Linked DNA regions of Callithrix jacchus. The protein of the gene in region 2 interacts with the protein of the main gene of each other region in a biochemical or structural test. Links are inferred from orthologs where the notes say so. Each region holds a gene or a part of one and is shown on either strand. Other genes may lie near its edges.

What was found.
Region 1: the proteins of INPP5D (region 2) and SHC1 form a complex in vitro, tested with the Homo sapiens proteins (2 studies listed by BioGRID and IntAct, with this or other methods). The link is inferred for Callithrix jacchus from reciprocal best matches to the Homo sapiens genes INPP5D and SHC1.
Region 3: the proteins of INPP5D (region 2) and CD244 interact in a biophysical measurement, tested with the Homo sapiens proteins (2 studies listed by IntAct). The link is inferred for Callithrix jacchus from reciprocal best matches to the Homo sapiens genes INPP5D and CD244.

What each region holds. Positions count from the first base shown.
Region 1 is NC_133519.1:15,379,928-15,382,895, reverse strand, and holds the end of SHC1 (SHC-transforming protein 1), read left to right. Parts: intron 1-41; coding exon 42-168; intron 169-703; exon of another isoform or gene 704-1,304; coding exon 1,305-1,482; exon of another isoform or gene 1,483-1,560; coding exon 1,561-1,630; exon of another isoform or gene 1,631-1,711; coding exon of another isoform or gene 1,712-1,714; coding exon 1,715-1,846; exon of another isoform or gene 1,847-1,997; coding exon 1,998-2,410; downstream 2,411-2,968. UniProt on the Homo sapiens protein: Signaling adapter that couples activated growth factor receptors to signaling pathways. Participates in a signaling cascade initiated by activated KIT and KITLG/SCF.
Region 2 is NC_133507.1:154,424,618-154,428,979, reverse strand, and holds the start of INPP5D (phosphatidylinositol 3,4,5-trisphosphate 5-phosphatase 1), read right to left. Parts: upstream 2,911-4,362; 5' UTR 2,770-2,910; coding exon 2,636-2,769; intron 1-2,635. UniProt on the Homo sapiens protein: Phosphatidylinositol (PtdIns) phosphatase that specifically hydrolyzes the 5-phosphate of phosphatidylinositol-3,4,5-trisphosphate (PtdIns(3,4,5)P3) to produce PtdIns(3,4)P2, thereby negatively regulating the PI3K (phosphoinositide 3-kinase) pathways.
Region 3 is NC_133519.1:20,750,239-20,753,883, forward strand, and holds part of CD244 (natural killer cell receptor 2B4), read right to left. Parts: intron 3,602-3,645; coding exon 3,284-3,601; intron 3,201-3,283; coding exon 2,913-3,200; intron 660-2,912; coding exon 549-659; intron 1-548. UniProt on the Homo sapiens protein: Heterophilic receptor of the signaling lymphocytic activation molecule (SLAM) family; its ligand is CD48.

The DNA of each region.
Region 1 (2,968 bases), on a different chromosome or scaffold from region 2:
CAGTGGGCTCAGCTCAATGACCGCCTCTGCTGTGCCCTCAGCCTGCCACATTCTGGAGTGTCCTGAAGGGCTTGCCCAGGATGTCATCAGCACCATTGGTCAGGCCTTCGAGTTGCGCTTCAAACAATACCTCAGGAACCCACCCAAACTGGTCACCCCCCATGACAGGTGAGCAGGTGGGGAGGATGTGCAGCAGCTCTTAAGCCCCAGAACAGGATTGGGAAAGGAGGGCTGCTCTTCCTACACTTGAGCTGAGAGGCTTAGGGAGGGAATAACCTGCGTGCCTCTGCTTCCCCCTTCCTGTGATTCTTCCATTTCCTGTGGCCCACAAGGAAAGACTCTTGAGGCCCTGCTTGCTGCAGGGCCAGCTTTTCCTCCTGTTGCTCATGGTGGAGCTGCAGTCTGAGGCATCCAAGTTACATCTCTCTCTCTGGCTAGATGAGATTTTTCTACTCCCATCCCTCTTGCTTGCCCATTTCTCTGACACTCTGTATTTTAATGCTTCCAGAAGCCATCAAGAATTTGGGTTTGTGAGGATATCTCTTTTCCCTGAGATTAGTGTTTCCCACCTCTGGCCGTGAGGGATAAGCAGTGGCGCCAGGAGGGACTGATTAGGAGAGGTTAAACTATTCTGTAGTGCCTTCTCCCCACCTCACTACATAATGCTTCCCTTCCTTGCTGGCAGATAGCACAGTGATCAAGGGCAAGAGCATTACTTTTTTATTTTGAGACAGAATCTTGCTGTGTTGCCCAAGCTGGAGTTCAGTGGTGTAATCACACAACTCACTGCAGCCTCCATATCCTGGGCTGAGTGATTCTCCCACCTCAGCCTCCTGAGTAGCTGGGACTACAGGTGCATGCCACCACACCTGGCTAAGTATTATTATTTTTTTGGTAGAGGCAGTCTCACTACGTTGCCCTGTCTGGTCTTGAACTCCTAGGCTCAAACAACCTCCCTCCTTGGCCTCCCAAAGTGTTGGGATTACAGGTATGAGCCATTGCACCTGCCCAAGGGCATAAGCTTTAAAGTCAAACCTGAATTTAAATCTGAGTCTGTCACCTTTTAGTTGTGAGACCTTGGGCAAATCTTTTCACCACTGATCCTCATTTGCCTCATCTGTAAAACTAGGAAAGAAAACAATACCTATCTTATGGGGTTGCCAGGAGAATGAAATGATTAGGTATATAACACACTCAGCCTCAGGCCTAACCCATAGTAAATACCGAATACATGGCTGCTGTTCCGTTCCCTCCTCCTGCCCACCACACATTTACGGCCACACCTTCACTGTCCTGTCTCTCAGGATGGCTGGCTTTGATGGCTCAGCTTGGGATGAGGAGGAGGAAGAGCCACCTGACCATCAGTACTATAATGACTTCCCGGGGAAGGAACCCCCTCTTGGGGGGGTAGTAGACATGAGGCTTCGGGAAGGAGCCACTCCGCCCACTGCCCAGACCCCCAGCCACTTGGGAGCTACACTGGTAAGTTGTTTGGATGGAGGCCTAGGGTGGGAGTGGCTGGTTAGGGCCTCTGGTTCCACCTTATTTTCATCCTTGCAGCCTATAGGACAGCCTGTTGGAGGAGATCCAGAAGTCCGCAAACAGATGCCACTTCCACCACCCTGTCCAGGTATGAAGGGAGCCGAGATGGGCAGAGCTGGGGAGTCCTGGAGGCAGGACCGGGATCACTGTACAGCCTCCCTTTCCTCAGCAGGCAGAGAGCTCTTTGATGATCCCTCCTACGTCAACGTCCAGAACCTAGACAAGGCCCGGCAAGCAGGGGGTGGTGCTGGGCCCCCCAATCCTGCCATCAATGGCAGTGCGCCCCGGGACCTATTTGACATGAGTGAGTGCTCCTCTCTCCTCTCTGCATCCCTATCTTCCTACTTGGTTCTGGCCCTTCCCCTGCCTATATCTGCTCTTTCCTTCCCTGAAGTCTGGGTCTTGGGTGTGTATTGTGCCTGCTACCTCCCCTCACCCTCTCTCTACACCTCCAGAGCCCTTTGAAGATGCTCTTCGGGTGCCTCCACCTCCCCAGTCGGTCACCATGGCTGAGCAGCTCCGAGGGGAGCCCTGGTTCCATGGGAAGCTGAGCCGGCGGGAGGCTGAGGCACTGCTGCAGCTCAACGGGGACTTCCTGGTGCGGGAGAGCACGACCACACCTGGCCAGTATGTGCTCACTGGCTTGCAGAGTGGGCAGCCCAAGCATCTGCTACTGGTGGACCCTGAGGGTGTGGTGAGTATGGCAGAGGTGAGGGTGAGGGGTGGCAGAAAGGAAGGTACAGTACCCTACAGTGCATTCTTGTTCCTTCCCCCATTGCTTTCTAGACATTTCCTGCTGGGCAGCTCTCTGTGGGCCTCTCTGCTCTTCAAGGTGTCTGGCATCTTCCTCCAGGGGCTTATCCCTTAGCCTGAACTGTGTCCTTTATAGTCCTGGCACAGGGCCAGGCATGGTGGCTCACGCCTATAATCCCAGCACTTTGGGAGGCCAAGGTGGGCAGATCACTTGAGGTTAGGAATTTGAGTCCAGCCTGGCCAACATGGTGAAACCCAGTCTCTAGTAAAAATATAAAGATTGGTCAGGCACAGTGGCTCACGCCTGTAATCCCAGCACTTTGGGAGGCTGAGGTGGGTGAATTACCTGAGGTCAGGAGTTTTGAGACCAGCCTGACCAATATGCTGAAACCCTGTCTCTACTAAAAATACAAAAACTAGCCGGGTGTGGTAGCCTGTACCTGTAGTCCCAGCTACTTGGGAGGCTGAGGCAGGAGAATCGCTTGAACCAGGGAGGTGTAGGTTGCAGTGAACTGAGGTGACACATTGAGGCTCTGTCTCAAAAAAAACAAAACAAAACAAAACAAAAACCTGTGTGTGGTGGCACACAGCTGTAATCTCAGCTACTCAGGAGGCTGAAGCAGGAGAATGGCTTGAACCGGGAGGTGGAGGTTGTAGTGAGCTGAGATCACAC
Region 2 (4,362 bases):
GGCCACGGGGCGAGTATACTTTTCTCTGCCCAGTGGACTTTGCTAGGGCAGGAGAGTGAGAGTGTGGCTTCCTTCTACAGTCACGTCTAGAGCAGGGTGGCTCCATGGCCCTGCCCCATCAGCTGCACTTCTTGGGGTCCCTGAGGCTTGATAGGCTTCCAGGCTGGGGGACAAAGCCTGCTCCCTCTGGAGCTGCCGGCGCAGCCCTCAGCCTGGGACTGCCTACTGCCTGCCTTTGCCGTCAGGCCACGGCCATGCTGCGGGGAACAGAGAAAACTAACAGTGGTGGGGTTTGTTTTTCGAGAAGTTCAATCTCTTTGCCTTAAATGCCTTTTTTTTTTTTCTAATATGCCCTTCCTGCCTTTTTTGGTGTAAAGGCGGCTTTCTTTCATGAAATGAGGTGTTGCAAGATGACAGGCCGTTATCATTCCTTTAGTTAGTTTTAGGCCACGTGAAGCCTCGCAGGCGCGCAGCAAGTCTGCAGGCACAGGGTGGCCCACAGCCGCCAGTGGAGCCTGGCCTTGCAGCAGGGGCCTGCTCCCCTCCCTGAGCAGGGGAGAAAGGGGAACCCTGAGCCCAGGGCTTGTCTGGCCAAGGGGTGGAGCTCCTGGCATTTGCAGCCCAGCAGCCTCCGGATGGGAGGTTGCCAGGCTTCAGCTAAGAGGACAGCAGACATCTGTGGGCACCACAGGTCCCTCCCTAAGGAGCAGTCGCTGCTCACCCATCATGGATCTGAGAGTAACTCAGTACAGACAAGGTTTCAGAGAGAAGAGGTGGAGGAAGGAATATGGAAGCTGGCCTGGATCCCAGCAGTTTGCCCCCAGCCAGCATGTGAACAAAGACCTCAGGCTCTGCTCTCTGTCTACTCCCAAAAAGCCAGGGTTGTGGCACCAGAGCTTCTCCAAGCCCTCTCCAGCTCTGGCTGTGCCTCACTCTGACCCTAGATATTAAGATGCTCACAGCGTGGAGTCAGAGAGACCCATGTCCTGTATCTGTAACCTGAGCAACCACAGAACCTGGTCGGAGAGCGGCGGTGAAGGTTAACGAGATACCGTTCCAGATGCCCTCTGCTCAGCCAACACCAAGCAGCCAGGACAACTTCCCACTGGGCCTGGAGAGAAATCCAAGTAATCCACATGGGCAGGGTGGAGTCAGACTGGGCTTGCAGATGCCTAAAAGAATCTCCCTGCCACTTCTAAGGCCCCGGCAGCAGCAGGTCCCCAATGGGGAAGTCTAGGCAGCCTGGGCCTGTGTTCCTTCCCCTGAGGTTTGAGACGGGGGCACAGGAAACCAGTCTTCAGAGGTGGGGCTGCAGACTGCCAGCACAGGCCAGCAGCCAGCTGTGAGCGGGGCTGCTTTGCAGTGCCCCAGCCGACCCCGTATACACTCTGGCTCCCCTTGCTTCCGCCTCTAACCCCCCAAGGCTACATGCATGCCCCACTGGACTGGGGGCAGGAGAGGTTGGGCAACACAGGCTGCTGGTCTCAGCTGCAGCCTCGGGGGCAGACGGCCGTGGCTTTGACTGCTGTCACTCAACCCACCAGGTCCTCAGATTCCTCATCTGCAAAGTAGGCCTTTTAAAGAACCTGCATTTTAGGTTGTGGTGAGGATGAAATGGGCCAACAAATGCTTAGCACAGCGGGTCCCAGCTGTGAGTCAGTGTTCAAAACACGTCTGGGTTCACTGCCCACTTCCCCTCCTGCCTGGAGCAGGGCAAGACCCTGGCTGCTCTGCGGAGCACTTCTGCTAGCCCAGGGATGTTACCTGGGATGTCCAGGCGGACACACCCTTCCCCTGACTACGCTCTGGCACTGCCGAGGCCCCAGTAGAATGAATGGACCAAGAGCTGCCGGGCAAGGGTGTCCTTCAGACACTGGACAGGACGGGGGTTCTAGAAAGGAACCTTCAGCAAGTGGCTGGTTCCTTCATGTCAGCACAGCTGGCACATTCAGAAACATCCCCAACCGGGCAGTGGAAGGAGTTGATGGTGACAGAGACCCAAACTGAGGGGGTGAGGGGTGGGCAGCGGTCACAGCTGAGTGCTCAGGAGAGACAGAAGAGGTTGCTCGCTACTGGTAATGGTGGCTTCCTCTGCTCTCAGGCCCCCGAAAGCAGCTTCTGAGTGAAAGTCCTTTCTTGATTAAACCCACCCTGTAATCTTGGGTCGCCAAACAGCAGCTTCCTCCATGGGCCCAAAGCCTGGGTGCTCCAGGAAGGGTCCCTCTGGCCACCTCTGCTCTTCTCAGGGTTTCTGAGCTGGGCGTCTTTGAACTGCTCTAACACACCCACCTCCAAAGAGCCGTGAGCTTCCTCCTAGCTCAAAGAGCCAGACCCTCTTCTCTCGGTCCTCAGACCCCAAGGAAGCCCCAGGCACCACACAGCTCACGGGAAGCTGGGGTGTCAGATCAGGCCTCAGAGTGGCTCTGACAGCTCCCAGGCTGCAAAAACTGCCATGAGACCAGGTCCCTGAACTCCAAGGTCAAGGTCTAAGGCCAGGGTCTGTGGCAGGGTGGCGGGGAAGTGTGCATGTCAGGTCACTCTGTCCTGTGTGACAGGAGAACAACCCATCCCACTCTGGGCCCTTCGAAGCCCCTCCGTCACCTCTGTGCCCGGGGAAGGAGCAGGTTGTACTCACAGCACGCAGAGGGCATATGCCCGGGAGATGGACTCGCTGGCACGCACGAGGAAGCTCCCGTCCTTGCCAGTCCTGGAGAGCAGCTCCTCCGCCTTGGAGCGGGTGATGTTGCCGTGGTTCCAGCAGGGGACCATGGCGGGCGCGGGGCTCCTAGGCCGGGCCGGCCGGCACCCCCAGGACCCACCCGCCAGCAAAGGGAGCCGAGGCCCCTCCACTGCAACCTGCCTCCTGTTGCCTCTCAGTGGCCTCGGCTGCTGCCACCAGCTTAACTGACTGACTTCCTGTTTCAGGCGTTCAGCGAGGGAAAGGAAACTGAGCTGCGGAGAACTTCCTCATTACAGACACCAAGCAAGCGCGCGCGAGAGACACAGACACAGAGACGGGGGCGAGGGGGGGCGCTCTGGCCGTCCACCGTCTACCACGCCCCGCCACGGCAGCCGCGGCTCTCACGCCGGCTCTCTCCTTCCCGGAAACAGGTCACAGCCCACAGCTAAAGTGTCCAGGAGCAGCTGAAGTCCCGCTGGGCAGAACGATTGGCTGCGGAGACGCAGGAGAGTCGTGGCCGGCTTAGGAAGAAGCGTGGCCTAGCAGGTGTGGGTGGGCCAGAGGACGACCACGTTGGATGCCACGCCCTGGACAGGCCTCCTGAGCCTTCTGCCCTCCGCCAGGGCTTTTCAAGGCCAACCCGGAATCCCCAAAACACCCAAGGGGACACAGCTTTTCAACTGGGACTACGGCCTGCCCAGGACAGAGCAAACTTGAGGGGGCGGGGCATAGTGGAGCCCTGCCCCGCCCCCTCAGAGGCACGGAGCTGCCGCCGGAGGCTGGGAGGCCTTGGGTGCCACCAGCCAAGGGCTCCGAGGTCCAGGTGATGGCTCTGTGACCCCACTACCCTCATTCCCAGGGGCATGGCAGCACAGCTCTGATCCCTGAAGTCTGGCTTGGAGACACACAAAGGGAGCTTGGAGGGGACGTGGACTGTTTACAGCGGGAACAGGCTGGGTTTTCCCCTGGGCGTCTCCAGAAGGCCGAGGAAGCAGGCTCTGAGAGGAGACCACCACAGCGCCACAGGGCGGGCTGGCCACCTGGCCAAGGACGACACTGGCTCCTGAGTCCTGCATCTCAGCAGTCCAGGTGGCCAGTGGGACTGCGCCTCCTCCAAGGCTGGGCATGGCCACGTTCGCCCACTGCTCAAAGGGGAGCTGCCTCTCCAGGGACTGCCATCCAGGACCAGCAATTTCTGAGGGCTCCGTGGTAGACACCCATCCCTCAGCCCCCAGACCTGGACACCCTCCATCCTTGGGTCAGGTCTACCAAAGGCGAAGGGGCACGTGTTGACCTGCTGCACAAGGCTTGCCCCGCACATCCCTTGCCCTCCGGGACAGGATAGCAGACCCCGTCCAGGAGGGGGCACCAGCCGGAGGGCACCACCACATTCAAGCTGTGAGAACCTGGTCACATTTCTTCTCTCTCTCGGCTTCCATTTCCTCTTTTCTAACTTGAAGGGCGTAGCTTGTAAAGGAGCTCACATGTGCCAAGGGGCTTGACATGAGTCACACTGACAGTCATCCCAGAACAGGGGCCCCGGCACCTCCCACCTGTATCGACACGCATGGCAGGCGGGTCTGTGGGGCAGACAAAGCACTCCCACTCAAGAACCTCTGGCCAGGCCTAGAGCCGGGCGTGGATACAGTGGTGATGGGAGCCGGCCTCCACACTCCGCGCCT
Region 3 (3,645 bases), on a different chromosome or scaffold from region 2:
TTACCCAGGCTGGAGTGCAATGGTGCAATCTCGGCTCACCGCAACCTCCGCCTCTTGGGTTCAGGCAATTCTGCCTCAGTCTCCCGAGTAGCTAGGACTACAGGCACGCGCCACCATGCCCAGCTAATTTTTTGTATTTTACGGGGTTTCACCACGTTGACCAGGGTGGTCTCGATCTCTTGACCTCGTGATCCACCCGCCTCGGCCTCCCAAAGTGTTGGGATTACAGACTTGAGCCACCGTGCCCGGCCTACATGGTTAATGCTCTTCCCAGGAAACGCAAAGAGCACAGAGGCGGCAACCGAACCGCCCCTGCCACGCCTCCTCCCAAATCAGCTGCCTGCAGGGAAATCTGCGCATTGGGGATCAGAAGGCATGAACTGGGAGAGAGAGCCTAGGAGCCTGCTTGCCTTCCCCCACCACGTACACGCATATACCGAAGCTCCCTGAGGAAAGGGAGATGCTGTGCTCCCAGACACATCCCACTGGACAAGACACAAGATCCGAGGCCCCGGGCAGCAGCACCACCCCAAGGACCTTCCACTCACCTGACTGCTTCCCCTTCTTCTTTCTCCTCCACACACAGAAGCAGGCAAGGGTGCCAAGCAATAGCGTGCTTAGAATCAGGACGATCACCAAAAAAGGCCGAAATCTGAATTCTAAGGAATACAGAAGGCATGAGGACTGAGCGTCAGCTCGCTCTCTTCTTCCTTCTCACCTGCCTGAGGGAGGCTGTCTCAAAACCCCCTCCTTTTGTGGTGTAGTTGATCACCTCACACTCTGTGAACTCACCGTCAAGGTTTACTCTTTGCTCGGTTGGGTAACCTCTTCTGAGTGATGCCAAGGCATGGATATTAATATCAGACAGGCCTGGCTCAAATTCTAACTCTGTGAGCTCTGCACTATTTATTTTACCTCTCTGGGCCTCTCAAAGAGCCTCTCAGATTTTCTCACCTGTAAAAGGGGATAATGTTTTCTACCTATAGGGGTTAATCACATGACCCTCCAAAGTTTAGAGTTCCACAACTGTGGATTCGATGAACTGTGGATCCAGAATATTCAGGGAAAAGAAATTGCATGTGAATACATAGAGACTTTTTTCCCTAAACAATACTGTCATTATTCCCTAAACAATACAGTATAACAACTATTTAAATGGTGTTTGCATTGTATTAGGTAGGACAATTAATCTAGAGATGATTTAAGTAAGGTATACAGGAAGATATGCATGGGTTACATGCAAATACTGCACCTGTTTATGCCAGGGACTTAAACATCCGTGGATTCTGGCATCTGTGGTTGGGGGTGGGTGCTGGAACCAATCCCCCATGGATACTGAAGGACGTGTAAAGCATCTAGCACAACAAATGTTACATTTATCCATTTATTTGCTTTTAACTCAAAAAATATTCATTGTACAGGCAAGTTTTCCATCTCACTTTTCCACTACTCCTGGCTTCATAGGTCTTCCTCATTTGAACTTCTACTTAAAACATTTGTGTCACACATGTAGCCTGATATACAATCCAGCCAACAAGAAAAAGGAAAAGGAATGAAGTGTCCTAGGTACTGACAAGGCTCTTTACAAACATCGTCTCATTTACTCTTAACAGCAGTCCTGTGAGGTACCTATTATCATCCCCATTTTACCCAAGGGGGAAAGAAATTGAGGCTCAAAGATGTTCATGAATCAATGAATCTGCTAGAGATCACAGAGTTTCTTCTTCTTTTTTTTTTTCAAATAGAGACGGGATTACGCCATGTTGTCCAGACTGGTCTCAAACACCTGGGCTCAAGTGATCTACCTGCCTCCCAAAGTGCCAGGATTACAGGCATGAGCCACCACACCTGACCTCTAAGAGAGCACAGAGCTTCTATGAATGATGAAGCCAGTGTCCTTGTCACTACACATTGCCTCAGTCTTTCATTCTTGGTTCGTTTTTTTTTTGTTTTTTTTTTTTTTTGAGACAGAGTCTTGCACTGCTGCCCGTGCTGGGGTGCAGTGGCACAATCTCGGCTCACTGCAATCTCCACCTCCTGGGTTCAAGCAATTCTTCTGACTCAGCTTTCTGAGGAGCTGGGATTACAGGCACCTGCCACAATGCCCAGCTAATTGCTTGTATTTTTAGTAGAAACTGGGTTTCACTATGTTGACCAGACTGGTCTCGAACTCCTGACCTCGTGATCCACCCACCCTAGCCTCCCAAAATGCTGGGATTACAGGCGTGAGCCACTGCGCCTGGCCTGCCTCAGTCTTGTTTCTTTGTTGTCCAGAAGCACTTATTTTTGTTGCCCCAATTTGGCTATAAGTTCCTTACAAATGAGAGCTGTATGCTTTTTTAAAATTTTTTATGTAATGCCCATGTTGTTGGCCCAAGAAGTTTCTGTTTATCTAATAAAAAGTTGTGCCAAGTTAACACAGGTAACTCTTAGGGTGAGCATAAGCAACCCAAGAACTCGTCTAGGTATCCCTGGGATCACTGTGATGCTCCTGCTCCAGGCTACTGCTGCACGGTGTCGTTAACCTCTCAAACTATGTGGCTTGGGGAAAGTTATCACTCAAGAGAAGAGAACAGTTCTCCATCAGCCTCTCCCAGGAAGAAAATTATGTTCAAGCCATTGTAGGACTGTCACTCAGCAAACAATTACACTTTCCCTCTGCAGAGGAAACACTTGCATCTCCCAGAAAGAAATAGGGCTAACATTTTTTTTTATTTTTTTTTCCAGAATCGGATAGGCCTGGCTTTAGAGGAACCATGTGCCTGGAGGCCAGGACTGCGCGGGGAAGGGCTACAAGGCACTGGGAGAGGAGACCAAGGGATTTTATCTCATACCACATCTGTCTTGAGCATGAGCCTGGTCTTGGGGTACACACCTTCAGCCCCTGTTATAGCCCAGTGTGTTCCACTTACCCTGATGGGCATTCTGACAACCTTGAGTGAGATTCAGGGTGTGGCTTTCCCAGCTAACGGGGTTGCTGACATTGCAGGTATATGTGTGCAGGCCATCAACGTCAACCTCCTCCAGGTAGGTGAGGTTACCTGCTCTCTGGATCAGCTTGCTCCCTCTGTACCAAGCATAGGTCACATTGCCATCCCTGGAGACCAAGCAGGACAGAGCCACTTGGCACCTCCCACTGTCCAGGATCTTCCCCTGCCCCTGTAGGCGGGGCTTCTCAATTGTATCTGGAAGCAGAGATTCTGATCAGAAAGGCATTGGAAATACAGAAATTAGAGGCCTATGGGAATCAGAGAGGGCAGTATGAGCAGTCCTGGAGACTCACCAAATACAGAAACCTGGAACGTGGCTCTGTGAATTTCTCCAGATGTATAGGTGGCCTCTAGGCAGTAGAAGCCACTGTCCTGCGGCTGAGCTGCCTCGATGAGAAGAGTTGGGTTCTCAATTTCAAAATGGAATCTATCGTTGGAAGCATTGATAGTCGTCGAGCCATTCTCCCACTGAAATATCTGATTAAATGCCTTACGTGAGGGCAGCTGCATCTTCCATTGAATACTTTCAACCTTCATCTGTGTACTGCTTGGTTGTAACTGAAGACGCTGTCCCGAGATGCTAACCACATGGTCAGCTGGAACTTGGCATTCTAGGAAAGAGAACCCAAGCTGAAGGTAGTGGGAGGAGTGTCAG